Linked DNA regions of Mus musculus. The protein of the gene in region 7 interacts with the protein of the main gene of each other region in a pairwise test. Links are inferred from orthologs where the notes say so. Each region holds a gene or a part of one and is shown on either strand. Other genes may lie near its edges. The genes, in order: Bysl, Snw1, Cox5b, Cfap206, Ccnd3, Ccdc42 and Tfip11.

Region 1 (3,674 bases), on a different chromosome or scaffold from region 7:
GCCTCAAAGTGCTGCAGAGCACGGGCCCTGGATGTCTCTGCATCTGACGCAGAGCCAGAGTGGTGGGGACGTTAGGCCCTTAGGCCCTGAAGTCAGCTCCGGCTCTTCTGGTCCTTGTATGATCCTGGGCCCGTCACTTGACTCCTCTAAGCCTCAGTTTCCTCATCTGTAAACTGGGGAAGTAAAAGGACCCCCCTGGACAGTCAGCTGAAGGGTAAAATCTAAGACTGCAGCAGGCCCGACTCTCAGCCAGAGCCAGCAGGTCCTGAGGGCTGTTTACTTCAAGCTCACCTCCCACTGCTCACACAACGGGGAGCAACTTCTGAGTGCAGAGTGGAGCTCTGTGCCAGGCAGCGCTGGTGCACACCTTTCATCCCAGCGCTCAGAAGGCAGCGGCAGGCAGAGTTTTGTGAGTTCAAGGCCAGCCTATCCTACTCACCCAGCACTTGCCTAGCAAGGATGAGACCTGGGTTCTGGCTTCCAGCACAAGGGGAAAAAGTTTCTCTGCAGTCTTTTTCTGTGCCGAGCAGCACTGAATCTGACACTTTCCAGACTTGTGTCCTGTGGTCTGCATGACACTGGTGGCAGGTGCTTTTATTCCCCCGCACTGCCCAGGCCGGGGAATCGAGACTCAGGGCCAACCAACAACTCTCCTAAGCCCTAAGACTTTCTCAGGGAAAGGGTAAATTTTAGTCTTTCGACTTCTAGTTTGGGTGCTTCGCAGCGTCTTCAATGTGCCTTAAGTGACAAGGCCTGATTGCTGTGTTCCCAAAGACCCTTAGCCTGGTTTCTGAAGATGCCAGCAGCCACTGCTCAAGAGTGCCCACGGTCCCCCTTTCCACCATGTTGTCACTTCCGTATAGCAACTGCAGAAAACATTCTGCTAAGTTTGTCAGATCAAGAGCCACTGGGTATGAGGTGCTGCCCGAGAGCCTTTGGGGGGCACATCACACCCCATGACCATTCTCAGAGCTGTCAGACACCTTCAGGGGACAGGGTTCTCCTGTGTTCTCTGAACCCAAGCTGCTCATCACCGTACTATTAATGATAGTGGTGTACTACACCCCACTCTGAAGAATAAACTGGTTGAGCCCCTTTGCCCTAAGCCCAGTCCTCTCAATGAGGCCAGATCCATCTGAATGGAACCAAGAATCTGACCACAGGCAGCCTAAATAACTGCATGTTTAGAAGTAGCATTTATAACACATGGGGGTACGTTTGTGGTTCTACCCAGAGGTAGTTTTAACCCCTCTGGGAACATTTTGTCAGAGATAGCTGCTATTGGCCCCAACACTGTAACTGAGATGGAAAACCCTGAGTTAAAGACTAAGCTATGGGCTGGCGAGATGGCTCAGCAGGTAAGAGCACTGACTGCTCTTCCGAAGATGCTGGGTTCAAATCCCAGCAGCCACATGGTGGCTCACACCCACCCGTAATGAGATTTGGTGCCCTCTTCTGGTGCGTCTGAAGCCAGCTACAGTGTACTTATGTATAGTAAATAAATCTTTGGGCCAGAGCGAGTGGGGTTGGCCAGAATGAGTAGAAGTCCTAAAATTCAATTCCCAACAACCATATGATGGCTCATAACCATTTGTACAGCTACAGTGTACTCACATACATAAATAAATTAATCTTAAAAAAAAATAAGACTAAGCTATGAGAGTAACGTACCAAGAATAAACACTACTAAACGGATCCCCAGCTATCACAAGGAACCGGTAATCCAGAGGTTCCAGATCAGATGGGCAAAGGGGAATCCGGGTCACTCCCGTTCAGGGGCCACTCTTGGCAATGGTCAGACCAACAGCTGTGGTCTGGATGAACTTTCTACCAGGACCCACTGGTCCAACCTTTAAGCCTTACCTCACGGGAGGATTCTTGTTCATGAACATTTCAATGGCACGCTCATCTTCAGGGTCCACGATCACCTCTGCCTGGTGGTCCACCCCGGCCATTTTGGCTGCCTTCTCCAGGGTAGGCCACTCCTCATCCTCCTCATCTGATCCATCCTGTGGCAATCCCGGCCCTACAAGATAATCCCAGCCGCAGGGGCTTGTGAGTCAGTTCCCCATTCCACGTACAGCACACCCAGGGAGCAGGAGGGACACCTGCAGAGGGACTATCCTTTTGTCCCCAGAGACTTGGAATCTTGATAGAAAATACAGCACACGAAGCGAGAGATGATAAGGCCAGTAAAGACTGGATGACATGTCCCCTCAGTGAATGGATGACATGTCCCCCCTCAATGACCAAGAAGGATCCATTCTATACTACACACATGTAACCTGGTCTGTCCAGATGACCTCAAGGAATAGGTACTGTTGCTATACCCAGTTCAAACCGGGGCAGAAGAGTTGATGTGCCCACAGTAGGTAGGCACTGTGGGTCCTGACTTCCCACTATGTTGCTTGCACAGTGGAACTGCATCATGTGCTGAAACTAAAACCATGGTGGAGGCAGTGTGCACCTCAGGCACTTGGATGAGTACAGAGGCTGAGGAGGCTCTGGATGGGCAGTCTGGGAGCAAGAGCATGCTCCACGTCCTGGAAAGTAATGCTGTTAGAGTGTTGGGCACTAAGGAGCCAGAAAGGAAACGGAAAGCCAACCTGGAAGGCTCTAAGGCTGGGCAGTGGCATTCGGACTCTGATCAACCAACACATTTAAGTTACTGGCTTAGGTAGTCGAGGATGACTTGGGAGTTCCTTGTTCTCGCGCCTCCACTTTCCAAACACGCACCACAGTGCTGAAGGCTGAGCTTCTGATGTTGGGTTAATCCCGTGTGTTCCATGTAAAGGCTGCCTGTGTACTATTCACATGTTAATCTTTGTTCCAGCAGAGAGCTGAGTACAGTCGGCATTGGTTTTTTTTTTTAATGAAGCATCACCTGTCTCAGTGTTGTGGAAACTTCTTCTCCATCACCTTCTGATTGGTTTAATCAAAAGCTGAGTGGCCCATAGCAGGGCTGGAAAGGATAGGCGGGACTTCTGGGCAGAGATAGGAACTCTGGGAAAGAAATCAGATGTGAGGGGACTCAACAGCCAGACACAGAGGAAGAAACACGTGCTGTTACTGAAGAGCAGTAACGAGCCCCGTGGTTGAATGTAGACTAGTATAAAGCAATTATGTTGTATCAGCGAGTTCGGAACAAGGCAGCTAAGGCCAAGCTTTCATAACTAATAAGAGGTCTCTGTGTCCTCACTTGGGTGATAGGTGGGTTGAGCCATTCCTGCCACATCCTGAGGTCCTGACCATGGAGTCTTGGCTGGGTACTTCCTGAGTGCTGGGATTAAAGTCATGTGCCAATACACCGGGCTGACTTTTGAAATACCGCACATAGCTGGCAAGGCAGTTGGGAAAGAGTCTAATAAACCAAAGTAGTTGAATTATTACCATAGCAACAGATCAGTTGCTATGGAAGTGGACTAAGGGTATATTATATAGAGCTCCAGAGAGTACACAGAGCATACCCAGTGAGAGCCAAGGTTGTTTGTTTTAGGTTTATTTTACTTTTAATGTTTGAGTGCTGACTGCACGTATGTCTGTGCACAAGTGTGCCTGGTGTCTAATGACATCAGAAGATGGCATTTGATCCCTTGCAAATGGAGTTACAGACAGCTATAGCCTGCCATATGAATGCCAGAAACCAAACTTGGGTTTTCTGCAAGAACAAGTGT
Region 2 (4,375 bases), on a different chromosome or scaffold from region 7:
CAGATCTACTCTCTTAATTGTGTTGTAGTAAAATTGCTGTTCTCTATATAACCATGGGATGATTAGGGATCATCAGGGTACAAGCACCCCAAACGATATGTCTCTGTGGAAAATGAGAATTGACTGTCAGAATACATATCCATCCCTTTCTTTCAATCCTACATCCTAGGTTTTGGGCTATGCCTTTCTGATTTCCCACATTCATTATTTTAACATTGCCCTCAGTAGCCTCTTTAGTCTCTCATTACCATAGAAAACCAGTGTGTGGCAAGAAGAGTCCTTTTGTTTGTTTGGCGTGGTGATTTACTTATGCTTAGTGCAAGGTGTGGTACTCTCAGGAGGTATGGCATTGTTGGAGGAGGTTTGCCACTGTGGATGTAGGACTTTGAAGAGATCTATATCTACTCAAGCTCTGCCCAGAGTGAGACAAGCAGTCTCTCCTTACTGCCTTCAAATTGGCTTGCTGAACTCTCAGCTCCTTCTCCAGCACTATGTCTGCCTGGATGCTGCTATAATGATAATGAACTGAACCCCTGAAAATTTAAGCCAGCTACAAGTGATATTTTCCTTTATAAAAGTTGCCTCAGTCATGGCATCTTTTCACAGTAATGGGTACACTAAGACAGTTTGGTTTTAGTCTTTTGAGACAGGGTTTCTTTGTGTAGTCTTGGCCATCCTAGAACTAGCTCTGTAGACCAGACTGGCTTTGAACTCACAGTGATCTACCTCTGGGATTAAAGGCATGTGCCTCAACTGCTGGACTAAGAACTGTCTTTCTTGAGCTGCATTCAGTGGCAAAGACCTTTGATCCTAACACTTAGGAGGCAGTGTCAAGCTGATGTCAGATCATGACCAGCTTGGTCTATAGGAAAAGTTCCAAGGCAGCCAGGACTACACAGAAAAACCCTATCTCAGAAAGAAATAATTGTCTTTCTTACCTGTCTCAGTCCTACTTCAGCTCCAAATTATCAGCTGAACTAAATCTACGCTCATTGATCTTAATTTCTAGCATCTTCTTTATTTGCCACACCCCACACTGTTTTTTAAATAATTCATTCGTGAAGCAAAATTTAAAGTAGATGACTGTTAACACAACGATTAACTATATGCACGGAGGGTGGCTTATAGTGGGGGATCAGCCAGACTTTGCATCCTATTCAAAACTCTTAAGCAGTACTATGTGTAGCGGCCTTAAAGCAGAGTTGGATAATAGTATTAGCGTCCCAAAATAAGGCTTTATATCATATTTTGTATTATCACTACTGACATGTTAAACAGAGACCCTGTAGCCTGTAAAATCTACAGAAGTAAGGAATTTCGTATGCTAAGGTAGTTGTTGCTAACGCACTTTCAACAGACTGGCTGTCACAAGTCTCTCTCAAAGAACTACAAGGCCCAGAGGGCCGTTCGGTCAGAGCGCCTGCGCAGTGAGCATTTTTCCATTGTGTTCCTCGTTCCCGGGCAAGACTCGCCCGGCGACGTTGTGGCCTGCGCAGGAAGAAGCGGAAGAAGATGGCGCTCACCAGGTGGGTTGTTGATTTGGGTCCTCGATACGGAAGGGTCTGGAGTACACATCTTTTCCTTTCTGCCCGTACTGTTCGGGCTGTGACCTGGCCTGAGGCGCAGAAGTAACTTAGTCAAAACCGTGGCTGGAACCTCTCTCGGGCTTCCTCCGCGACTAGGCCGCGCCGAAGCCGGGGTCTTTCCTTCGGGGCTTCCCGGGTTGAGTTCGCCCCCCCCTGTTCCGAGAGCCCTGACATGGCCTCGCCGCGAGGACCTCACATGTGCTTCGCGTAAGCGGCGCGGTAGATTGACGAGCGCCTTGTGGACTGCGGGCTGAGATGGTTGCACTGCGAAGCCGCGGCTTATTTAACCCCGCTAAGCAAAGCTCGCCCGTCTCGTGGGAGGCTTTCCAGCCGCTTGTATGTTTTGTGCTTCTCATTTTCTCCTGCTACTCTCTCTCTCCCGAAACAAAGATTTTTGCAAAAAAAAAAAAAAAAACAAAACAAAAAAACAAAGAGTTGGGAACGTCCGAGAACCGACCAAGTTTTTTTTTAATTGACAGCAGTAGGGGCTGCTGTTGACTAAATGCGCGCCGCTCCACCTTTTAACTTTGGATCTTAGAATTTCTTTTGTACATAGAACCACCTCCGGCTTTTGCTGTTCCTGGTTGCCCTGGTTACTGTATGTAAAGTGTTTCCAACCTTTAAGGAAAAGAAAATGCTAAGTGGGAGACTTCCAAAAAGTTATGTAACTCCCAACTGCTGTAAGTGGAAAAACTTTCCATGCAAACTCAGCTGGAAAAGTCTGATTTTAAAGAAGGTATTCACTTTAGGGCCTTGGATTGTACCTGTTAAACCCACTTCTCATATTTTTTCCTGGCTCATAACAATATGAATCCTAAGAATATTTTGGTTATATGAATTAAGGTTTGTTGTCCTGCTTTGCCCTAGAGGTAGTATATGTAGAATGAAAAAAAAATTTTTTTTAAACCGGGAAGATGGACAAGTGGGTACACGGATGAAAATAGTGCAGGCGGGAGGATCTCAGAGTTCCAAGGCCAATCAGGTCTGTATAGGTAGTTTAAGGCCAGGATTTAAAAACAAAAACAGAATAACACTGACCTGGTTAGCTTTAACTGTCTGCTTAACACCTGGTCAAAAGATATCAGGTGAAAAAATTGCCTAGAACAGATTGGCTTATGGACATGTCTGGAAAGGATTGTTTTTCTTGCTAAGAGATGCAGGAAGATCCAAACCACTAATGGCTGCTCCATTCCCTAGGCGGGATATCCTGAACAGTATAAGCTAGATGAGTATAAGCCACTCTGCCAACCAGCAAGCAGCTTACATGGTGCCTAGCCTGCCTGCCTGCTTGCCTCCCTCCTTCCTTCTCTGCAAGAAAGCAAGTCCCTCTTGCTCTTGATTGTCTGTGGGATTTCACTAGCTGCCTTGACATCTCTCGTGGGTTTTAACCTGGAATTAAAAGCCAAATGTACTGGCTGGGTTTGTGTGTCAATTTGACACAAGCTCAATTTATCACACAGATAGGAGCCTCACTTAAGGAAATGCCTCCACGAGATCCAGCTGTAAGGCACTTACTCAATTAGTGATCAAAGGCGGGAGGGCCCAGCCAATTGTGGGTTGTGTCATCCCTGGGCTGGTAGTTCTGGGTTTTATAAGAAAGCGAACTGAGCAAGCCAGGGGAAGCAATCCAGAAAGCAGCAGCCTCCATGGGTACTGCATGAGCTCCTACCTCCAAGTTCCTGCCCTGTGCGAGTCCCTTTCCTTACTTTCTTTGGTGATAAACAGCATTGTGTAAGTGTAAGCTCAATAAACCCTTTCCTCCCCCTACTTGCTTCTTGGTCATGATGTTTTGTGCAAGAATACATACAGTGACTAAGACATCAGATAAGCCCTTCCTCCTGTAAATTGTGTTTTGCCGCAGTTTTTTAACAACAGCCACAGAAATGAAACTGGAACCAACAGATGATGTACTGGTACATCAACAGATGTGTGGTCCTAGCCTCGGTACAGAAAAATAAGAGTGAGTTGTGCTGACTGAGTGTTTTAGATAGCAAATATTCGAGTCTTCTTCAGGCACTATGATACAGATTAGTAGGACCATGAGAGGGAAAGTAGAATTTGAAATGGATGCACACAAGAAGAACGCCAGAGGTATAATATGTCTTGAGTGCCTATCAGCAATGCTAAAAGGTGAAGTCTCAAAATGGTCGGGCTTGAGGACTACAAAGCTTTCATTTCTGTGTTTTTAAATGTTGTTTATAAAACTAGCAAATACGGACTGGGGAGGAATAGGTCAGTGGTTCAAAGCAGTGGCTGTTCTTGCAGAGGACCTGGTATGTTTCCCAGCACCCACATGGCAGCTCAGGTTGCTCTGTCTGGTAAATGAATAGTTAATCATAATGCAGAAAGTTGGATGGTATACACATGGTCTAGACAGCTTTAATCCCAAAACTGGGGAAGCAGCTGGATCTACACAGTGAGAGTCTGTCTGCTGACAATGAAAACAGAAAAACCAATAGGAAAGCACAGTAGCATAATGTGGAATTCCTCTATAATCTCATTACTCTAGAGGCTGAGGCTAGACAGGGACAAGTTCAAGACCAGCCTGGACTACCTAAATAGGCCTTGTTAAAAATTAGGAAGGCCACCAAACCCGGACACTATTGCATATGCCAGAAAGAGTTTGCTGAAGGGACCCTGTTATAGCTGTCTCATATGAGGCTATGCCAGTGCCTGGCAAATACAGAAGTGGATGCTCACAGTCATCTATTGGATGGAACACAGGGCCCCCAATGGAGAAGCTAGAGAAAGCACCCAAGGATCTGAAGGGGTCTGCAACCCTATAGGTG
Region 3 (3,839 bases), on a different chromosome or scaffold from region 7:
ATCGTCTCACGGCAGTCTCTCAAGTGACTGGGACTTCCATGACCGGGTCCAGCTCAGTGCGTCTCTCTTTCTTCATTCTCCCTTTTAAAGGGAACCACTGACAGGTGCAGAGATCACAGTGACAGTTCTCACTGGAGGACAGAGTGGGCTGGAGCTCTGTAACGTCCTTCCCCTAAGTCCTGCGTCAGGGTTAGTGTCTCTGTAGCATATGGCCCAGTTATTCAGTCATTAGCAGGGCAAAACGGAACCATGAAGATCTGAGCAAGGTCAGCATATTGTCACTGCTCTTGCCCCTAACAATCCCCCTTGGTTTTTGCCCCCTCTACATTATATAAAAGTTAAAATTTAAAAGAATTTTTAGCCAGGCTGTGGTGGCAGATACTTTTAATCCCAGCACTCAGAATCTGAAGTCAAGGCAAGCCTGGTCTACAGAGTGAGTTCCAGGCCAGCCAAGGCTACACAGAGAAAAGAGAAACCCTGTCTCGAAAAGCAAACAAATAACAGCAACAACAAAAAGTTTAAAATTTTTTAAAAATAAAATTCTAACAATTCTATACTGGTTTTACATTCTAAGTGGATGCCAAACTAGTATTAAGAGATAGGTGGTCTCAATATATATATATTAAAAAAAAAAAGACTATAGACATAAGACTAGCCAGCTATGGGAGGAGCCAGTGCAATGGCTAATCTTTATTAGAGAGAAGTTTTTCTTTACATTCTGAAAAGATAACACAGGGGCTCAGTGGGCCATTTGGTGGGGCACCAGCTTGTAATGGGTTCCACAGTTGGGGCATCGCTGACTCTCGCCTTTGTGCAGCCAAAACCAGATGACAGTACAGTTGTCCTCTTCACCTGAAAGGGAAAGACGGTTGACAGTCATCCAGCGTCCATGTACAGAGGGAGGCTTTCAGCATTCACCTCTTTCCTACAGACACTTCGGACACAGCAACAAAACTGCCACTGACTAGGAGACCACTTCACGCTCCGCTCCTTCAAATGAAAAAGCGGGGATGCATTTACCTGTGAGTAAGATAACCTTGTATGGGGTCACTGTAGGTTCTAACAATTCCAGTCCCTATGCAAAATTCCAAAACAGGATCTGTACTCATGTGTATCCCTAGTGCTTGAAACAAACAGTACCTGGCATATGTATGTACATACGTGTGTGTGTGTGTGTAAATAATCTGGGCTGGAAAGATAGTTCAGCAATTAAAAGCATGGACTGCTCTTCCAGAGGACCTGAGTTCAATTCCCAGTAGCCACAGCAAAGTGGCTCACAGCCTTGCTTGTAACTACAGCTCCAGGGTCATCTGCCTTCTGTGACTTCTCATGCATACTGAGACTTAAGACAGTCAACAACCCTTACAACAATGTATACACATATTTACATTTTTACACACATACAGTCCATCATACACACATATCTGAAGCAATTTATAGACATTCTGTGAGGCAGGTTATAAACAAATGGGCCAGAAAATAAAAACAAAGTGCTTACAGATGCAGCCCACTATTCTCTTGTTGCTGATGGACGGGACTAGATTAGGGTCTTCCTTGGTGCCTGAAGCTGCCTTTGGAGGTAGCATATTGTATGGGTCCTGAAAGAGACAAGAGTTGACTATTTATGACAGATAACGCCTGCCACTGCACTGCAAAAGGGCCGTTCCTACAAGCTGGGTTGTCAGGACCAGACGCTGGCTGACAGGAACTCCTCTAATCCCATCCAAGCCCCAGGGCTCCAGAGGACACAGCATTTCTCCTTACCAGTCCCTTCTGTGCTGCTATCATGATCTCCCTCTCCAGCCCAGTAGCCTGCTCCTCATCAGTGGGGACACCACCTAGAAGAAGAAAAATGAGCTACGGCAATTGATATGACCACGATGGATACACGATAAAAAGATCAACACGGGAAAGGTGACGTTATCCGCTTCTTTGGTGGGTTCCCAAGCTACCCATTCCCACAGTCCCCTAAGCCCACTGAGGCATGACTCCCAAGCCATACCGTTTTTCCCTTCCCACCGCGGAAGCTTGGTTGTCGACTTTCCCTACAATCAAGTCATGAGAGTATACTGGCTGGTGGCGGGCAAGGGATTTGAATGTTGGTCCAGCGCTTTTTCAGCCCTCCAAGTCCTTGTGTTCCAAGGTCACCCGGCACCTTCCAGTGAGGGCACTTTGAAAGCGGGTTCGATCGGGTGGGCGGCCGAAATTACAGCAAGACCGGACAGAGCGCCGGCTCCCGGAGCCTAAGGTGGTCAGCAGGGCTCGAGAGAACGCTAATGGCCGACCCCGCTCGACCGCCCATCACCAACCACGCCGGAGGCCATGGACACCGGCCTGTCCCGCCCAGCTGGTCACGTACCTCCAGAAGCCATGGAGCGGGTCACGGCCGCGCCACGGGGGCCGTGGGCCCTCAGGGCCTGCGCCGCCAAAGCGCCCACTCCGCGAAGTAACCTTGAAGCCATCTCGCCCGAGACAAGCAGATGCACTTCCGGGAACAGGCTGAGCAAGATGGGCGGGACTTCCGTTGGTGGGAGTCTAACAACGCCCGGTCAGTCTTCCGCTTCCTGCCCCGACCAGCCGAAGCAGCGCTAAAAGTAGACGCCGCACATGCGCAGTTCTGCCTCTTCGTGGGCCGCGCAGACTCCCGCCGCCTCCGGGGCGTGGCGTCAGTCACCCTGACAGCTAGCGGCTTTCGGGTTCATGACCTGTCCGCTTGAGTGTTCGCGCCCAGTGTCCCAGCCACATAGTAGTTCTTGTAGTGGAGGTGCTGTGGAAGCCGAAGTTCCCGCAGTCAAGGGCTTCCACCACGAATCATACAACCTTGGGCGTGAGCTCAGGAAGCCTGTTGTGTTTGTTATGCCTGTTAGCCACGGGTTCGAGACTGCAGACAGCTTTAGTTGTTACCAAATTGTTGCAATGGCCCACTCCGTCAGAAATTGACAGTACACCCCCCCACACACACAGTCTTAGCCTCAATTCCCTCCTCCACTCTGTTTTGTTTTGTTTTTTAAGCACGGTATCACTATGTAGCCTGGCTGACCTTTAACTCCCTATGTAGATCAGGGTGGTCTAAAGCTCACAGAGATCTGGTTACCTCTGCTGGGATTAAAGCTGTTGCACCGTCCTCAGTTTTCCTCCTATAGTAATGTTATGGGAGGTGATGGTGTTGGCCCCAGGGACAAGGATGAGGGGGGTGCGGGGGGTGCGGTGCAGAAGGGCTTTGGAGGCATAGATGTAGGATACCTCCTGATGGCCACTCCACCACGATGAGGATACTAGGAGGAGGAGGGACAGAAAGAAAGTTAATAATGCAACTGGAAATGACAATAGGCACCGTGGCCAGAAGTCTCTAATTTAGACAGAAAACGTCCTCCATTGCTCAGTGTTGCACACAGGTAAAGCCTGACAACTCACGGCAGAGCGTTCACTAGATTTCCAAACACTGGCTTCTTCGATTTATTCTCGTTGTGGAACATTCCTGAAACACTATGGCTGCATACAGTATCTATGCTTCCCTAATTGCGTCCCAGTGATGAAATCTTAAGTACCTTGCAGAGGCCTGACATAATAATATCAAATGACTTTTAGTAAATCCTGCCGCTTGGACCAAAAATATAGTTTATAGAGCTTGTGACTACAAAAGGTCAAGTTGAGGAAAACTACAAAGGACTAAATTCCTGGGTGTTGTCACCTACCCCTTGTAGGTTATTTTCAAAAGGGTCTGGTGGAACATTCCTTCAGAGGAACTAACCTGGTCTTCATGGCTGCCCTCAACCAAGAAAAAAAAATAGCCTATAATGAGGCACCAAATTTCTTGACTGTGAAGATGGGCTTACACT
Region 4 (3,674 bases), on a different chromosome or scaffold from region 7:
AGCAGTCTAGCAAGGGAAGGCCCTCTCTGACTGGTGGGAAATTGGTTTTTGTAATTTTTACATTATATATAGACCTGTGCAGCATGTGTGTGCAATACCCATAGAGGCCAGAAGAGGGTGCTGGATCCCATGTTCCAGTGCCATGGCCTGGTTGTGAGCCACCATGTGGGTGCTGGGAACAGAACCTCGAATCCTCTTTAAGAGTAGCAAATACTGAGCCAGCTTTCTAACCCTGGTACTTGAATTTTTATGATAACTTTTAAAAATAAAAACAAACAAAACCCTCATAGGGTTGGAGGTGTAACTTGTGGTTTCCCAGCCCCCAAAAGTTAGGAAGGCAGGAGAAAAGACAGGCAGGGTGGCTGACTGGCTGACCCTGCTGTTGGTGTTGATGTAGTGATCTAGATAAAGGCAGTAATGCCTTCTCAACGGGTCTGCATTAGTGTAAAGTTCACATGAAACGACTTACCATTAGGTCCTTTATTAGATACTTTCTAAGTATTTGCAAACTTAAAGGATGCACTGTGGGTGTGGTGGTGAGTGCCTTTCATCCCAGCATTTGGGAGGCCGAGGCGAGGCAGGTGGATCTCTGTGAATCTGAGGCAAGCCTGGTTTACACAGCAAGTTCCAGACTGTTCAAGGTTACACAGTGAGGTCCTGCCTAAAAACTAAAAATAAACAAACAACAAAGCATTGTGTAAGGGCCAGCACAGGAGTCGTTTCTGACTCTGCAGATCTTGGCATGTCTCCTCTTTGGCTTTTTGTTTGTTTGTTTGTTTTTGTTTTTTCAAGACAGGGTTTCTCTGTGTAGCCCTGGCTGTTCTGGAACTCATTTTGTAGACCAGGCTGGCCTCGAACTCAGAAATCTGCCTGCCTCTGCCTCCCAAGTGCTGGGATTAAAGGTGTGTGCCACCACGCCCGGCCCTCTTTGGCTTTTTCATCGCATTAAATACACAGCACCATAGGTGATCTTTGCTTTTAAACTAGTTTTCCTCCCCTTGGCTGGCACAGCGTTCCAAATCTGGATTCTGGGCTGAGCCCTCATTCCAGCGACTGACTCAGTTCCCCGACATTAGCTCCATGGTACCAAAAATGTTAAGTTTTGCCTCAGGAAAGCGAGGACTACCTCACGGGATGAAGAGCAGTTGTACGTTTAGGCGGCGGGGTGTGGTGCCCGCTACACTGTGAAGTGGCGCCTTAAGCATGCAGAACCTTGAGTGAGGAGCAGCCTACAGATGCACTTACAATCATCAATGCCTTCTCCTCCTTTTCCACAGTCTCTGTTAAATAAGCGAATTCCGGTAACAATCATGGTGAGCTCTTTCAACTGGCGCTCTTTGTCCTTCTTACTGAGGGTCAGAAACGTGGCGAGCTCAGCCTGAGGGAAAACGCTCTGCAGAGCGGCTGAAGCAGAACACAGGAGAGAAACACCTCAATGGACCGCAACGTGCTGGTGGGACAAAGCTGGCAGAACTCAGGTTTAAAGCCTCGCTCTCTCTGTACAAAGTCGAGGGATGCGTCTTTCTAGTGTTACCTACACAATTTATACTTATGATGCCTTCTGTAGCATGCATAGCAAAGGTTACCAAATACCAGGTCTGAGCTACTGAAAATAATGTTGTTACCCCATGTTTCTGTCCTTATTAATTCATCAATTGGCAAAAATAATCTTTCTAATTAAGGCTCTGAGTAGATAAATCTATTCTTTAAAATAATAATGGAAAACTGTAATAGGAAGGCCGAATACCTTGTTTAATACCCCCCCCCCCCCACTACATATTGGTTTTATTTTGGGAGGGAAGGAGTCCTGTGGAATCAGGCTGGCCTCATACTCAGTACATAGCTCGGGGTGGCTTTGAACCCCTGATTTACCCGTGCCCTTCTACTTCCCAGACCTTCATATGTACTCAAATAGTTCTAGAAACCTGGGTGAGTTTGAACTACTTATTTGTGCTGATTTTCCTTCAATCTTTAACAATTTTATAAAATGCAATGGCCAGGACTAAGGAGATGGCTCCGTGGGTAAGGGGCTTGCTTGCCACACAAGTGTGATGACCACAGTCTGTATCCCCAGGAGCCATGGAAACCAATACTGAGCCAGTGCAGTGCCTTCCTATGAAATTTCAGTGTTATAGAGGGAAGACTGGAGATCCTGGGGCAAGCTGTTGAGCTAGACTGGCCAGAACTGGAATGGAGAGTTCTGGGTTCAGTGAGGGACCCTGGCTTGGTAAATAAAGTAGACATACGGAGGAAGATTCTCAGGGTCAACCTCTGGCACACACACACACACACACACACACACACACACACACACACACACACTTGCACACAAGCCCCCATCCACGCAAAGGTATGGATACACATGCACAAACTATACACGTGAATACAGTGGGCATATAGGTCTGCTTATGGAATGGAAATCATTTCTAGTTTTTACCTGTTGCCTCTCTGACAATCTTGATGTCTGTGGGGGATCCAAGCCCAGAGCGCAGGAGCACGTAGCTGACGATCTTTCTGTAGAGATTTTCCAGCTCTTCCCTAGCACTTGCTCTGTTGTCTGTGATTTCTCTGCTAACAATGCCTAACCTGGATTCTAAGACCCGGTGATGTTCTTCAAGAAAGTCCTCTAAAATGAGCAAATAACACTATTTTGCATCTTCAATACTTAAAATCCACCTCAGATAAGGGCTCAGGAAAAACAGGTTCGTGTATGTCAAGTTCATGAAAACAAAACTCCCTGCCACCTTCCCTTGAGTGCAGGGATTGAGCCCCACTGAACTAAATCCCCAAACCCTGACTCTTAAGGCATAATGGTGAATGAAAACAGAGGGCAGCAAGAAGTCTAAATACAGAAATTCAATAGAATATTCTGTCAAAGCATATGTGTAAACGTGCATAAATGTGTAAAGACATGTGGCGCAGTATTACATATGAAGTCTATATACTCTTCTTGAGTTATACTTGTCTCAGTCCTAGTAAATGTCTTCTGAGTAATATTACTGATAATACAATATCGCATTGTCTTAGTAAGGGTTTCTATTGCTCTATAAACACCAATTACCAAAAGCAACTTGGAAGGAAAGGGTTGATTCAGACATCACAGTTTTCCCCATCATTGAGGGAAGTCAGGGCAGGAAGCTAGCCGCAGGAATGGGGCAGAGGACATAGTGGAATGTTGCTTACTGGCATGCTCACTGGGGTTGGCTCAGCCCAACAGTGGTGCAACCTACCACAATGGGCTGGGCCCTCCCACATCAATCACTCATCAAGAAAACGCCCCACGGACTTGCCTACGGGCAAACATGATGGAGCCTTTTCCTCAAATGAGGTTTCCCTCTTAGGTGACCCTAGCTTATGTTAAGCTGACCAAAAACAAAACAAAACACCCCTAGGCAACAAATATATAATTTATTATTCTTTTATCTTCCTGTGTCATGCTGTGACTGGAGACCACCTTGACCACCAGAACAATTCTTGTAACTTAGTGAAATCTCTCAATCACAATTCAACAATGCAGCATTCATATCTATAATTTCACCACAAAAGCAACTGAGAATGTTTTACTAATTGAAAAAAAAAAAGAAAAGAAATCAAATTTCTTTAATTTTATGGTCCCCCCCCCCACACACACACACCTTTGGGATCTCATTGTTATTAAGCAAAAAAGTAAGAGA
Region 5 (4,374 bases), on a different chromosome or scaffold from region 7:
TGCTGTGTGGATTTAGACTGCTGGAGTTCTTGGAGTCCCTCACAACTCTGACCGCAGGCCACTCTCAGCTCAGGGCCTCGAGCAGGAGAAGGAGGGCTTTGCCTATTCTGAAAAACTCCCCTCACACACAGCCATGTAGACCACCCTTAATCTCTTCACAAAGAGTAAGTCTCCTACCTCCCAGCCTCAATCCCTCAAAAACATCGTGCTCCCTGGCTCTGGAAACTAGATTCATCACAAAGAGCTGTGGGGCCTCCCGGATTCCCAACTCAGGCCTCCCATCCGTGAGAGCTGCTTGACAGGAAGAGGAATCCAGTTCCCCGACTCACAGCAGTCAGGGGCCCCAGTACCCTAGCTTCCCAGCCAGCCAATCACAGGAGTCTGCCTGCTGCCCTCCTCCCTAGGAGATGGGGCCCAGAGACTCCTCTCAGGGTCAGAGAAGGCTTGGCCAGCCACAGAACAAGGTGGAGGGAGGTGCCAGCTCACCCACCCTCTCCCCCAGACCCTGTGGGAGATGACGTTCAAGCTCCCTTCCAGATCCAAGCAGATCCACCTCCTCCCTAGACTCCTCCGGGGCAGGGCAGAACCCAACCGATTTTTTTTTTTTTTTTTTTTTTTTTTTGCCCCGCCTGGAGGAGCCCAGCCCAAGTTCCCAGCAAGAGGCCCCAAGGAGCCACTTCCCAAACCACAGGAGTGACAGCAGCTCCCCACAGGGTTATGAAAGCCCTTGGTCTGAGTGGGAGGGCCAGGGGACCGGCATCATTATCACATCGGAAGCAGCTGCAGCTCAGCTCCCTGTCTGTCTCGGCTCTGGCCTTTGGCTGAGCAGCAAAGGGAGAAACTCTTCCACGGGCCCAGAGCAGCTGCTCGAGTTTTTCAGAAGGAAGACAAGAAAGGGAGGGTTTAGAAAAGAGCGGTGTCTTCGGGGATAGGAGGGAAAGGGATGAAAACACCTCAGCGCTTCCTTCCAGCGAGCAGGGCCTGGCTTTAATCAGCTCCGGGAGGCTTTTCCATCACAAAGTCCACACGGGGATAAAGGCTCATGCAAGGCAGCCCCCTCCCCCACGTGAAGCACATTCCACTCCGGTGGGGGTGTGCAGACATGCCCTGCTGCTGCCAATAAATAACTCACGGTGGCTGTGTAAACCCAGAGGCAAAGTACTGGTGTATAGACCCGCAATTGGACTTGTTGCTATTGGGGGGGGGGGGGGCGAGTTAGGAGTGGAACCCCACTGCGGCCAGAGGAAAGGGATTCATTTAGTTTTAAGCTTGCAACCGAAGCACCACGACCACACTACAAGGCCTTTGTCCCAAAATACCAGCCAGGGGCGAAGGGAGGGTTGGTGGGTGAGGGAGTGAGCTTGGCTTTTCTTTTACTAGTACATAGGGCGATCGTATGTTTGGTGGAGGGGCGGGGGGGGGGGGGGAGGATTCCGCACGCACCCGCAACTGCCATGGAGCCACAGCCTGGTCCGTATAGATGCAAAGCTTCTCAATAGTCAGGGGCGTGGTTTCGCGCAGCTTGGAGGCCAGCAACAGGCAGACGGTACCTAGAAGCTGCAATTGCGCCTTTCGGGTGGGGACGCAGGACAGGTAGCGATCCAGGTAGTTCATAGCCAGAGGGAAGACATCCTCCTCGCAGCGCTGCTCCTCACACACCTGAGGGAGGGCGCACGAGTCATTGCTAGGGAAGGACCAAGTGAAACACGGCAGCGTGGAGAAGTGGGGGTGGGGGGTGGAGGGAGAGTGGAATGCGAAGCAAAAAATAAACCGAGAAGGGATAAACTTAGAGCGACAAGTATCAATAACCGAGGAGGATGTGCCCTCCCCAAGGTGACCCCCCCACTTCCTCTGCATGGTCTCTTCCCCACCCCGGAGTAGGGGGTGTAAAAGAGAAGCCCATGCTCACGAAGGATTCCAGACTCCCCTCCCCCACGGCGAGCGGAAGGGGGACGGAAGGGTCACCTAGAGAGAATTGGGACCTTACCCTCATTACCGCCACCCACTGCACACACACTCCCAGGGGGAAGGGAGGGAACTCCTGCCGCGGTCTCCCGCACTTTTCATTTCCCTGTGGACCGGAACCGAGCCTGCGCCACCCCCACCCACCAGTTTCCCCCGCCAGAACCCCGCGATAGACACAGGAACCAGTTCTGGGGCTAAGGCGGCCGAGGCCAGGGTTTTCCAAACGCGCCCTCCAGAGAGCACCGGGTGAAGAAGGAAGCAGGAGACACCGAGGAAAGCCACTGGGGAAAGAGTGGCCCTTAGCCCGCTTTCCCGACCCAAAGTGAAGTTTAGTTACAGTGCCAAGTGACTGGAAATCACAGAAGAAGCCGATCAGGATTGGGGAAAGGAAAGGGACAGAACGCAGGCAGCTGCTTAGGGCGCCTGTGTGAAAAGGCCAGGCCCCAGTAGTCTGGGCCGCCAAAGCATCTTGCAGATTGTGGTCGGGATCGCAAAGATCCGACAGGGAAAGTTCAATTTGTCCCAGAGCCGGGGGTGGGGGTGGGGTGAGGAGAGGGGACCCGTTCGGGCCTTACCTCCAGCATCCAGTATGCCAGCATCTTCCGCATGTGCGGCTTGATCTCCTTTTGCACGCACTGGAAGTAGGAGGCTCGCGGCACGTAGCGCTCCTCCAGGCGGAGTAAACTCTGCAGGACACGCTGGTCCCCAAGCAGCCGCGGGTCGGGCCCGGCCCGGGGCGCGTGCCGGGTGCCCTCGCAACACAGCAGCTCCATCCTGCGATGGCTCACGGGTGAGAGCAAGAGTGCGGGTTAGCGAGTCCTAGGAGAAGCGACGCGCGTGAGGGAGAGCGCGGGGTGCGGGCGGGTCTGGCGCTGGCGCTGGCACTGTGCGGAGAAGCCCCAGCCCGCCCGCCACCCGCGCGCACCGCTTCCCTGACAGGCGCCCCGCCCCTCGCGACGATGTAGCAACCGTGGAATGCTCCTACGTCACAACGTTCTAAGGGGCGGGGCCGCAGTCGGAAAGGGCTGGCGGGCGCTATACCCTCCCTCCCTCCCCGCAGCCCCATTGGTCCGCTGGGCTCCGGCCCGCACGCTTCCGGGCCCTCGGGTCCCTTCTGACCAAGAGGGTAGAGAGAACTTTCTGGAAGGGTGCCCTCTTCCCCATCAATGGGCCCCGTCGCGATTCTAGCCACCCAGGAAAGAACTAGGCGCCAAAAGTTATTCCTTCGTGTATACGTCATATTTCATTGCTCTAGGGAATGTGGTCATAACTTTGTACATAGTTGGGTCACTCCTACCCTAAAGTGGCTTCTAGGAATGGCCTCGAGTTGGGCTTTATTTTGCAGACCATGATACTGAGGCACAATAGTAGCTGCAAAGATCTCATTGTTGGTCCGTCGGGAAACTTGACTTAGAATCTCGTCTACTTTAACGAATTGCGCAGATCTGCAGCAGCATCTGGGAGCATGTAGTTTCTGTCCGATTCAATGGCTCAGAGGGTAAACTATCCTGGCATCAAGTCTGGCAACCTGAGTGTGATCCCTGGGACCCACATGATGGAAGAGAAGAGAGCAACTCCCATAAGCTGTCCTCTGACTTCTACACCAAGGCTGTATGTAGCATGTGCGCACACACCTTCATGCACATACACAACGAAAATAAAAAGCAAAAGAAGAAATGCAGTTTCTCAGGTCTGCTGAATGGGACACTGCGTTGCACCAACGGAGGTGTGAGCAGTGTTGGTCAAAATCAGCATATAAAAAGCCATTTGGTGCTGGCTGTGGTGGAGCAAGCCAGTAATCTCAGACCCAGGGAAGTGTTGGCTTAACACCAGGATCCACTATCCACTATACAGACAATTCAAGGCCTGCCTAGAGTCTCTCTCTCTCTCTCTCTCTCTCTCTCCACACACACACACACACACACACACACACACACACACACACACACGGTGGCAGGGGGTGGGCTGCAGATATATCTCAGGTGGTAGAGCTCTTGCTTAGCATGCTCAGAGCCCAGGGCTCAATCCCCAGCACTGCAGAACCCAGAAACGATCAGAAGATTAAGGTCACTGTCTGCTTCCTAATGAGTTCAGGAGCAGCCTGGGCTATATAAGATTTTATCACAAAACCAAGCAAACCAAATGATAATAGCCCATGGAGAATTCCAGGCCAGCCAGACCCATGTCAGATGACTCAAATAACAAGGAAGGAAGGAAGGAAGGAAGGAAGGAAGGAAGGAAGGAAGACAGGCATGACAGAGCACCCCTTTAATCCCAGCACTTTGAAGACAGAGGCAAGCAGATTTCTTTGAGTTCAAAGCCAGCCTAGTCTAAATAAGAGTTCTAGGTCAGGAGGAGCTAATATCATGAGACTATGTCTCAAAAACAAAAATCAAGGGAAAAAAGGAT
Region 6 (4,370 bases), on a different chromosome or scaffold from region 7:
CAGTCCAGCATCATCAAGGCAGGGGCATGGCAGAGCCCAGGCAGGCAAGGTGCAGGAGGAGCTGAGAGTTCTACATCTTCATCTGCAGGCTGCTAGAAGACTGGCTTCCAGGTAGCTAGGACAAGGGTATTAAAGCCCATGTCCAAGGTGACACACCTACTCCAATAAGGTCACACTTCCTAATAGTGACACTTTCTACCCCAAGCATATACAAACCATCACACAAATTAACTGGATAAAGAACACACACACACACCTTTTGTGAAACTTAGAAATAATTTGCCTTATTGTCATTTTGCTGGGTCTATATCTGGAGTTGGGATTAGGGATTTACGGTGGGCTGGGGGTGATGAGGGGATAGATGGGTGAGATCAGAGTGGGTGGGCTTTTTTCTGTACCTTGAGGAGAGACCAAAGGTGAAACACGAGCAGGACACTCTCTTCCTCACAACAGGGATTTGGAGAGCTAGAGGAAGCAGCATGCCAGGTGACCCACAATTTAGCCTGCAAGCTCTGTCCTTGGCTCCAGCCAGAGACCCCCAGCAATCCTACCTCAGCCCGCTGGGAGGAAGGGCAGGGAGGGGTCAGCACCCAGGGCCTAGTGCCAGCAGAGGTCACTATAGTGCTGTTTCACCCAGGGACCCAACCGTACACAGCTTTAACCTCAAGTCAAATAAGTATTTAAATATGCATGTGTCCTCTGGAATGGAGGAAGGCAGCCATAAGAGGTAAACCATTTAAACAAGGGACCTATTCCATTACCCACCACACCTGCACTTATAGCTCAAAAGAGTATTTTATCTGTACTTAATAAACTCCGTCTTATAATAAAGGGACCTTGCCTTGCCTTGGTCCCTTTCCAAGCGGCCAGGAGCTGTATGCCCCTACATCTCTTTGGCCCACTACTTTGTTCTAATGCGTCTCATCATTTCCCCACTTTTCACACTTCTCTGTCCACCTCTCCCTGTCCCTGGTCGTCTCTCTGCTGCTTTTGCTCTTTACCATCCATCTGCCACCCAATCTCGTCTTCCCCCTCACCTAACCCTAGGAAAGAGGTGCCCGGGAGTCAGCTTCACAGATCGGACTCCTCTGTCAGGCTTTCATTCTCTGTGGCAAATGGTCATACCCTGCCTCCCTACCCGGTAAAGGAGCAACTGGTAACGTAATCAGAGTTCCTGAAAGGTGCCCTCGGGAACAGAGAGGCCACCTCAAGTGAGTGAGGTTAGCCGGGCAGTGGTGATATACACCTTTCCTCACAGCACTCAGGCAGCAGAGGCAGGCAGATTTCTGAGTCCAAGGCCAGCCTGGTCTACAGAGTGATTTCCAGGACAGCCAGGATTACACAAAGAAACCCTATCTTGAAAACAAAACAAAGAGAGAGGTGGGTGGGGAGTTAGTGGGTTCATAGGTTAGAGGGCAAACCGTGGGTGCCTCAGAACCAGGCAGCTTGTTGCTAGGTAACCAGATCTCCTATCACCGCAAGAGCACAACATACTAAAGCAGCCTCTAGCTGGTTTCTGCTGTGTCTCTCAGCTACCCACTCTCTGTGGGACTTTGAAAGCAGCAGGAGGAGAGGAGACCGAGAATCCAGCCACTAACCCCTGAGTGCCCTGTGGCACTGTCACTCACCATTTCACTTTGAAAAGTAGGCCACCGGGGCTGTTAGGTAGCTGCCACCATGAGTTTGGGCATGATGGAAGAGGAGGACTTGGCCGAATACTTCCGGCTACAGTATGGGGAGCGGCTGCTTCAACTGCTGCAGTAAGTGCTTGGTATATAGCCTGTCTGTCTCGCCTCTGAGCTTGGGACCACTCTTACCCTCATGATGATGCTCTGCTGCCAGGTCTTTCCTCTCCTACAGCCCAGTGCTCCTAATTGCCTTACCCCATGACCCAACTCCACCCTGACTCTGGGCCCCCATCACTCAATCGCCCCCAAAAAGCCCTCGTAGATCTCTCTCTTCTCACACAGCTCCTTTCATTAAGGTGAGAGTGGAGACCTCTTTTCCTTCCCATGGGCATCCATCTCTGAGGTGCTCCCTACCCGATCCTGCTCCTGCCTCTCAGAGGGTCCTGTTCCCTTTTCGTTGTTCTCGGGCAGGAAGTTCCCAAATGTTGAGGAGCAGTCAGACTCCCCATCTATCCAGCTCCTGGAGAAGAAGAAAGAGGCCAAGATCATGCAGGAGGCCATGGAACATAAGAAGGAGGTGAGGTGGGGAGTTGGGGGTGATAAGGGTAGGGGTTCAGGGTAGGGAATGGATTGGCTGAGGCTCGAGGTTAATGGATGGTGGGCCCTCGCTTTGGGGGTAGGGTGGCTACAACTGGTTCTGGACTCTTTCCTCCACAAAGAACAGAAAGGGTCTGAGTCTTGGGGGAACTAGGGTCATGGGATACTATACTAGGATCTCTGTACAGGATAGAGAGTGCAAACTACAAGTCCTTCTGTAACTACGTTTCATTTGAAGAGTTGGGGATTTAACTCCTAGCGACTTCTTTTCCACTGAGCTACATCATCAGCGTTCCAAGAGCCCCCCAGGCTAAAGGATAAAAAAACACTTTGGGCAAATGATGTTAGACTCTTTCTGAGAGCCCATGTCAGGTGGCTGGCTCTCTGACTTTCACCTTCTCACATGCCCTACAGGCATTCCAACGGAGAATGGAAACGCTGAACTTGCGCTGGGAAGAACTAGGTATTAAGGAAGAGCAGCTGAAGGCCCATATCCAGAAGTTCGAGCAATTCATCCAGGTATGAAGTGGGGTGACCTGCAGAAGGCAGAGACTTTACACTGCACTGGGCCAGGTGGTTCTTCCCCTCTACTTGACTTTGTGGGCTCCCCACGCTCCCGACCTCCGGGATTAAAGGTGTCTTCCCTGGTCCAGGAGTGCCTGATCTTTCCCAGGCATCTTCTATATTCTATCTACCTCTATCTGAGATGTCCCGTTTACCTGCCAGTCTCTTCTCTCTACTTGACCCTTTCCTGTTTCCTTGCCAGTACCCAGGTGGCTGGGTGGACGAGTGGATCTGATGGATACAGAAGTGAGTCAGGGGCTTGGTCACTCCCTCACTGTATCCCTCCCTCTTTGTCCTTGCATTGAAAGCAAGGGACAGATGAAGGCAGGAAACCATTGCAATGAAGGACCATGAAACAAAAAGACTAGTAAGAGACTCAAGAATCTTGACCTTGGGTTAGGGAGTTAAGCAATGCCCCCTTTCTTCCTTCTAAGATCTCAGTGATCTGGAGGAACCAATGAGTACAAATGGGTAGTGATAAGCAGGAGCAAGAATGTGTGCGAAAGTGTGCTAAAGCAGCCACACTGGAAGATTTGTACAGCGCGGATGATGGCTTCCATGCTTACATAGATGTCGCCTCTCCCCTAGTTCTTCCCCACCTATAGGGAAGCTGGAGCTGAACTCTATTCCATTAACTTGAAGGGTTCTGACAAAGGGCCCAGTGGTGTGGCGCCTCCAGCCCTGGGACCCACCTCAGAATTCTCCACCACCTTCTCCAGGTACTTGTTCTCCAGGTACACTCTAACGCCTCCCAGAGACACTAGGGACACACGCAACTAAGGCACACTTGCATCCAACTGGTTGGAAGGAGTGGCTGAGGACTCAAGTGAGGGTCCCCTGGTCCTTCCCCACCCCTTACAATGAGGGAGCACCAACAGTCAGCCAGCCCAGCTGTGATGGATCTTCTGTGGCTGGGCCCTAGAGATGACAGCAGTTTGGCTCAGAGGATGGCCCTCTTCATCAGTACTTAGAGGAATGATTTGAGCTGGCAAGATGGCTCCGTAGGTGAAAGCACTTACCGCCAATGCTGAGAGCCTGAGCTAGACCCCCTGGGACGTACTTGCATGTTAGAAAAAAAAGAGAATTGACTCCCCCCGAGTTTTCCTCTGATCTCTGGGCGTGCACTGAAGCATGTTCACAGGCATACACGTGCATACACAAAAATAAATAACAATGTAAACAAAACAAAAGCCTCACTCAGACTTGTTGGCCAGCAATGCTCCAGGACCAGCAGTAGAGAAGTCCTGAGGAGTTGGGAGCTGTTGCAAGGAGGGCTCACTGCTGCCCTCTCCTGGAGGAACCCTACTTGTAAGGTCCCTCATTCTATGCACAACTGGGCAGAGCAGGGATGTCAGTGTTCTGAGATACAGTCCTCCTGGACCAGAGCAAAGTTGATGGAGTATTGAAGAGGACAGGAAGTCTGAGAGTGAAGGACTCTCCAAATGACTTCCAGGAAGTCAGAAGCTGTGGAATCTCATGGTACTCTTCACAAATACAGACGCTGGTAACTTCTTCCTTCTTCTGCCTCTAGCAGGTCTCAGGTTGAGACCAGACACCTATAGGTGTTTAAAAACTTTCTAG
Region 7 (4,342 bases):
AAAGGCTCGATTCCCTGAAGATGGAATTAGAGGCACTTGTGAGCTGCCTGAGGTGGGCACTGGCTGGGAGCCACACTCAGGTCTGCAATAGCAATTGAGTTCAATCTCAATTGCTCCTGGGTCCTCTTCCAGCCCACATTTTACACTCGTGGGGTCTGTTCGATTCAAACTATAACTGAAGATTTGCCACTGTCAGTAGGGTTGAGTATAAATTCAGACTAGGATGTAATAATCTTACTTCCTTTGGACGCTTTCAAAAATGCCATTATTGCTCTGTGCAGACAATTTGTAGAGCATCTCGTCCCTTTCCCCTTCCCTGTAGGAATCTGGTGACTGAACCCAGCTAGCCAGGTGTGCATGGCAACAACCTCCGAGGCATCAAACTGGGCCCCCTTTTACAACTGAAAAGACTGTGTTAGCTTAGTGTCTGCTTTGCTTTAGAGTGGTACAGCACTTATCTAGCATGCCTGTAAACACACACACACACACACACACACACACACACACACACACAGTGTTTGTTTTAGATACTATTTCAAGGATAAAAGTCAGAACAACTCAAACAGATAAAAATCCTAAGTAAAATTAATCAAAACATTCTGAGTGTAGTTAGGTGGGGAGACTTGAGACAGCATCTTAATGTGGACCCCAGGCTGTACTACCACTCTCCCCTGTGGACCTACTCACTTTTCTACCTCCGTTTGGTCCAACAGCGTTTTCTCCAGAGCACCCTCTCTAAACTCCCTGTTCTCTAGTGCCCTGTGAGTGCTCCCTGACACAGCATGGCCCCACAGCTGCCATGCCTGTGGTGGGTCAGCACTTCCCTATCCATAAGTAGCCCTGATCCCATCACACAGTAACTGCTGAGGGGGAGCTCGCCACCCCAGCTCAACAACACATAGCAAGATGCTGTAGCACCCGGACTCTACAAGGGCAGAAAACTCTTCTGGGATGCCTTCCCGATCCTCCAGACCCAGGGCATGCAGCCCAGCACACAGTACCTTTTGCCTCCAAAGCTGGGCCTCTCCTCGTCCGAGTCTCGCTCCGCCCACACCCCGTAGGTGGCCTCCTCTTTGGTCTGCCAATGGCGCTGCCGGTTGGGGTTGAACTCATTCTGGAGATCCCAGTCGGTGATCTCAAAGTTCTCCCTCTCATCGTCATCGTCATCATCAAGGTGGCCTTCGCCATCCCGGTACAAGTGGGACAGAGACATGGCCAGTCACTAGAGGACGGTGACAAGAACAGCACTGTGAGAACCTGGGGCTAGCAGAAGATCCGCCAGTGTCAAAAAGCTATTAATGAGCCTCATGATCCAACTCAGTAAAGCAGCCATTAAACAAAGGGCAAAATGACCAGCTCCGTGACAAGTGAGACAAGTCAGACCCAGCCATCCGAAGGGGGCCTAACGCACAATGCCTTGTCAGAGTCAATCACCATGCACGCGTGGGGCGGGGCCACAGAATGACAGGCACATATGCCACAGAAAGGAAGCAACAGCTCTAAATGTTATTACCTCAGAAACCAGGTTGGTCTTTTTACTTCTCCAGGAAAAGTTGTATCTAGCCAATTTGCAGTTCCAGGGAAACTTCAGAGCATTTTCTGAAATACTATTTCCACGGGACTGAAGGTTTCCTTCCCTGAACGGCTTCTACGGTACTGGAAGGTTGCAGTCTTTCTGAATGCCACTTTGCAGTCACTCCTAGAGGGTAGGGAAAAAACAGTGTTCTACCCAGGTAGCTATTCATCTCTCTCTCTCATAACTGCATTCATTCAGTTCCAGGAGAAGCTTGTAAGGACTGATTAAGATGATACTTTCGAAAAACAAAAGCTCCAACACTTTGGAGGCAGAGAGGCAGATCCATCTCTCTAAGTTCAAAGCCAGCCTGGTCTCAAAACCGACAAAACAACAACGAAAGCTCCGCTCCCAGTAGGTGCTCAAGAAACAGCACCCTTACATCTTTGACTCTAGCAGTAGGGAGGCAGAGACCAGGGGGGTCTGAGTTCAAAGCCAGCCTGGTCTACAAAGCAAATTCCAGGGCAGCCAGGGCTGGCTGCTAAAGAGAAATTCTGTCTTGAAAACAAAAACAAAAAACAAAACAAACAAACAAACAAAAAACAGAAACGGGGGGAAAGGGAGGAAAAAGGAAAAAAAAAAAAAAGCATCTTCTTCCACTCCATGATCGGGTTTCAGGTTCACACTCATTACAAGTCAGGACTGCGAAGTGAATCCTTCAAAATGATTGTGAAAATCATTAACACTTAACACCCCAGCCTGAGTCTAAATCGCGCCTCTATGAACACCTGTGAGTGTGGTTATCACATTCAAAGGTCCCGACCCGACACTGTGTGCATTGCACAGTAACATCCTCACTATGTGACACCAGTGACTGACAGCGTGAAAACGGCTCCGCGGTGACTAACAGCTCCCCCCCCCCCCCGCTGCTCCTCCTCCTCCTCCTCCTCACTATGCACCGGCGAAACTCAACAGGTTCCGACCCCAGCAACCAGCACATGTTGAGTTTCCTCAAAGGAGCAGGAAGCCCTAGGCCCACTCAATTACAGCACCGCCACCTCCCCAGCACAGGGGACAGGAGACGCTCAGCTCAATGTCAGCAGCGGGCCCGGAGCGCAGGGAAACCGTAAAGCCGTCGTCACGGAGCCTCGGAGCCTCAGCCCGCGCTCCCGGGACGCCACCCCGCCGCCTGCTCACCTCGCTCAGCATCCGCGAGAGCCACACAGCCTTCGCCCAGCGTCCCCGAATCTGCGAGGGTCCCGCCAGCCCAAACCCGGATGTGGCCTTTACCGGCGCATCGGAAATACGTCATCGCTCAGAGGCGGAAGTGGCGCGCTGTTGCCCCGGCAGCGACTTCACGCCGGAGGGGGCGTGTCTGCAACCCGGAAGGGCCGGTGATCCCGCCTCGCGCTGCTTCTGGTTCCCATCGGAACTGAGGCTGAGTGGCCGTCTCGTTCCAGGGCGAGCCGTCGCCAGGCACTGGAGTCTTACTTGGCGTTACCAGCGTCACGAGGACACTGAGAGATTAAAATGTCCTCGCGACCCCATGTCGAGTTCTCTCCAGGAAGCAGTTTTATTGTTCTCCTCTTTGCTCTAGTTATTTCTCTGTCGCTGGGAAAGAACGGAGTTGGGGTTTCTTGTTGGTTTGATTTGGTTTTGGTTTTGTGAATTTTCAAGACAGGGTTTCTCATCCTGCCGTGGTGGCGCACGCCTTTAATCCCAGCACTTAGGAGGCAGAGACAGGTGGATTTCTGAGTTCGAGGCCAGCCTGGTCTACATACAAAGTGAGTTCCAGGACAACCAGGGCTACACAGAGAAACCCTGTCTCGAAACCCCCCACCCCCAAAAAAAAGAAAGAAAGAAAGACAGGGTTTCTCTGTGTAGCCCTGACTGTCCTGGAACTCATTGTGTAGACCAGGTTAGCCTCGAACTCGGGAGATCTGCCTGCCTCTGCCTCCTGAGTGCTGGCCTTAAAGGCGTGTGCCAACGCGACCCACAAAGAGCATATGTCATCTTTTTACACATCTTACAAATCTATACATAGTCTGGTGCCATCTCTGGTTCTGAAACTAATTTGTTTTCTCTAATACCCTAAAAGGCTGGGTCCTGGTGGGTTTTGTTGTTGGCTGGACTTATTTTTGTTTTCCCCTGTCAGCTTGATACACACTAGAGATATCTAGGAAAAGGACTCGGTGCTTCCATCGGATGGCCTGTAGGCAAGACTGGTGTCGTTTGCTTGATTCATGATTGATGTGGGACGGCCCAGCCCATTGTGGGTGGGGCCTCCCCCTGTGGTCCTGGGTGCTGTAAGCACAGGGAGCAAGCCAATAAGCAGCGTTCCCTCCGTGGCTTCTACTTCAGTTCTTTTTAAAAATGTCTTTGGACTGTAATCTGTAAAGCAAATAAATCAGTTTCCTTCCCAAATTGCTCTTGGGTATGGTCTTTACAATACAGCAATAAAACCTAACCAAAAAACATGCAGGAGGATTTGTTAGTGAGGCTCTTGGGGAGTCCGTCAGAGCCAATGTGATACTGTGGGATCAGGGTCCCTTCTTGGGGTTTTATGGTCACGTGAATGAAAGCATCTAAGAACTGATACAGAGAGCTGAGGGCGGGCAGTGGGGCCAGGGTTGGGGGTGGGGGCGGGAACGGCAGGCAAGTTGTAACTCATAGCTGCCGGGAGGAGAACGAAGAAGGGAAGAGGCATGGTGGTGTGGGAGAGCCAGTGTGGAGGTCGGCCACGAGCAGGCAGGGGGCCTTCAGCGCATGAGCAAGGGATCCCAGTACAGGAAAGTTGAAAGCATACTTGTGTTGGGAAAGAATATCCCT

Evidence for each region.
Region 1: the proteins of Tfip11 (region 7) and Bysl interact in binary tests that used the Homo sapiens proteins (3 or more experiments, as listed by UniProt). The link is inferred for Mus musculus from reciprocal best matches to the Homo sapiens genes TFIP11 and BYSL.
Region 2: the proteins of Tfip11 (region 7) and Snw1 interact in binary tests that used the Homo sapiens proteins (3 or more experiments, as listed by UniProt). The link is inferred for Mus musculus from reciprocal best matches to the Homo sapiens genes TFIP11 and SNW1.
Region 3: the proteins of Tfip11 (region 7) and Cox5b interact in binary tests that used the Homo sapiens proteins (3 or more experiments, as listed by UniProt). The two-hybrid records come from large-scale screens. The link is inferred for Mus musculus from reciprocal best matches to the Homo sapiens genes TFIP11 and COX5B.
Region 4: the proteins of Tfip11 (region 7) and Cfap206 interact in binary tests that used the Homo sapiens proteins (3 or more experiments, as listed by UniProt). The two-hybrid records come from large-scale screens. The link is inferred for Mus musculus from reciprocal best matches to the Homo sapiens genes TFIP11 and CFAP206.
Region 5: the proteins of Tfip11 (region 7) and Ccnd3 interact in binary tests that used the Homo sapiens proteins (3 or more experiments, as listed by UniProt). The two-hybrid records come from large-scale screens. The link is inferred for Mus musculus from reciprocal best matches to the Homo sapiens genes TFIP11 and CCND3.
Region 6: the proteins of Tfip11 (region 7) and Ccdc42 interact in binary tests that used the Homo sapiens proteins (3 or more experiments, as listed by UniProt). The two-hybrid records come from large-scale screens. The link is inferred for Mus musculus from reciprocal best matches to the Homo sapiens genes TFIP11 and CCDC42.

Annotation. Positions count from the first base shown.
Region 1 is NC_000083.6:47,604,976-47,608,649, forward strand, and holds part of Bysl (bystin), read right to left. Parts: intron 2,027-3,674; coding exon 1,864-2,026; intron 1-1,863. UniProt on the Homo sapiens protein: Required for processing of 20S pre-rRNA precursor and biogenesis of 40S ribosomal subunits. May be required for trophinin-dependent regulation of cell adhesion during implantation of human embryos.
Region 2 is NC_000078.6:87,469,399-87,473,773, reverse strand, and holds the start of Snw1 (SNW domain-containing protein 1), read left to right. Parts: upstream 1-1,474; 5' UTR 1,475-1,512; coding exon 1,513-1,526; intron 1,527-4,375. UniProt on the Homo sapiens protein: Involved in pre-mRNA splicing as component of the spliceosome. As a component of the minor spliceosome, involved in the splicing of U12-type introns in pre-mRNAs.
Region 3 is NC_000067.6:36,690,210-36,694,048, reverse strand, and holds Cox5b (cytochrome c oxidase subunit 5B, mitochondrial), read right to left. Parts: upstream 2,563-3,839; 5' UTR 2,463-2,562; coding exon 2,360-2,462; intron 1,839-2,359; coding exon 1,765-1,838; intron 1,599-1,764; coding exon 1,499-1,598; intron 853-1,498; coding exon 740-852; 3' UTR 661-739; downstream 1-660. UniProt on the Homo sapiens protein: Component of the cytochrome c oxidase, the last enzyme in the mitochondrial electron transport chain which drives oxidative phosphorylation.
Region 4 is NC_000070.6:34,720,171-34,723,844, forward strand, and holds part of Cfap206 (cilia- and flagella-associated protein 206), read right to left. Parts: intron 2,627-3,674; coding exon 2,438-2,626; intron 1,405-2,437; coding exon 1,246-1,404; intron 1-1,245. UniProt on the Homo sapiens protein: Essential for sperm motility and is involved in the regulation of the beating frequency of motile cilia on the epithelial cells of the respiratory tract. Required for the establishment of radial spokes in sperm flagella.
Region 5 is NC_000083.6:47,592,019-47,596,392, reverse strand, and holds the start of Ccnd3 (G1/S-specific cyclin-D3), read right to left. Parts: upstream 2,927-4,374; 5' UTR 2,739-2,926; coding exon 2,541-2,738; intron 2,098-2,540; exon of another isoform or gene 2,068-2,097; coding exon of another isoform or gene 2,014-2,067; exon of another isoform or gene 1,994-2,013; coding exon of another isoform or gene 1,988-1,993; intron 1,660-1,987; coding exon 1,444-1,659; intron 320-1,443; exon of another isoform or gene 178-319; intron 1-177. UniProt on the Homo sapiens protein: Regulatory component of the cyclin D3-CDK4 (DC) complex that phosphorylates and inhibits members of the retinoblastoma (RB) protein family including RB1 and regulates the cell-cycle during G(1)/S transition.
Region 6 is NC_000077.6:68,585,538-68,589,907, forward strand, and holds the start of Ccdc42 (coiled-coil domain-containing protein 42), read left to right. Parts: upstream 1-1,499; 5' UTR 1,500-1,677; coding exon 1,678-1,760; intron 1,761-2,099; coding exon 2,100-2,205; intron 2,206-2,639; coding exon 2,640-2,744; intron 2,745-4,370. UniProt on the Homo sapiens protein: Essential for male fertility. Required for sperm development.
Region 7 is NC_000071.6:112,324,842-112,329,183, reverse strand, and holds the start of Tfip11 (tuftelin-interacting protein 11), read right to left. Parts: upstream 2,816-4,342; 5' UTR 2,711-2,815; intron 1,700-2,710; 5' UTR 1,514-1,699; intron 1,223-1,513; 5' UTR 1,214-1,222; coding exon 1,002-1,213; intron 1-1,001. UniProt on the Homo sapiens protein: Involved in pre-mRNA splicing, specifically in spliceosome disassembly during late-stage splicing events. Intron turnover seems to proceed through reactions in two lariat-intron associated complexes termed Intron Large (IL) and Intron Small (IS).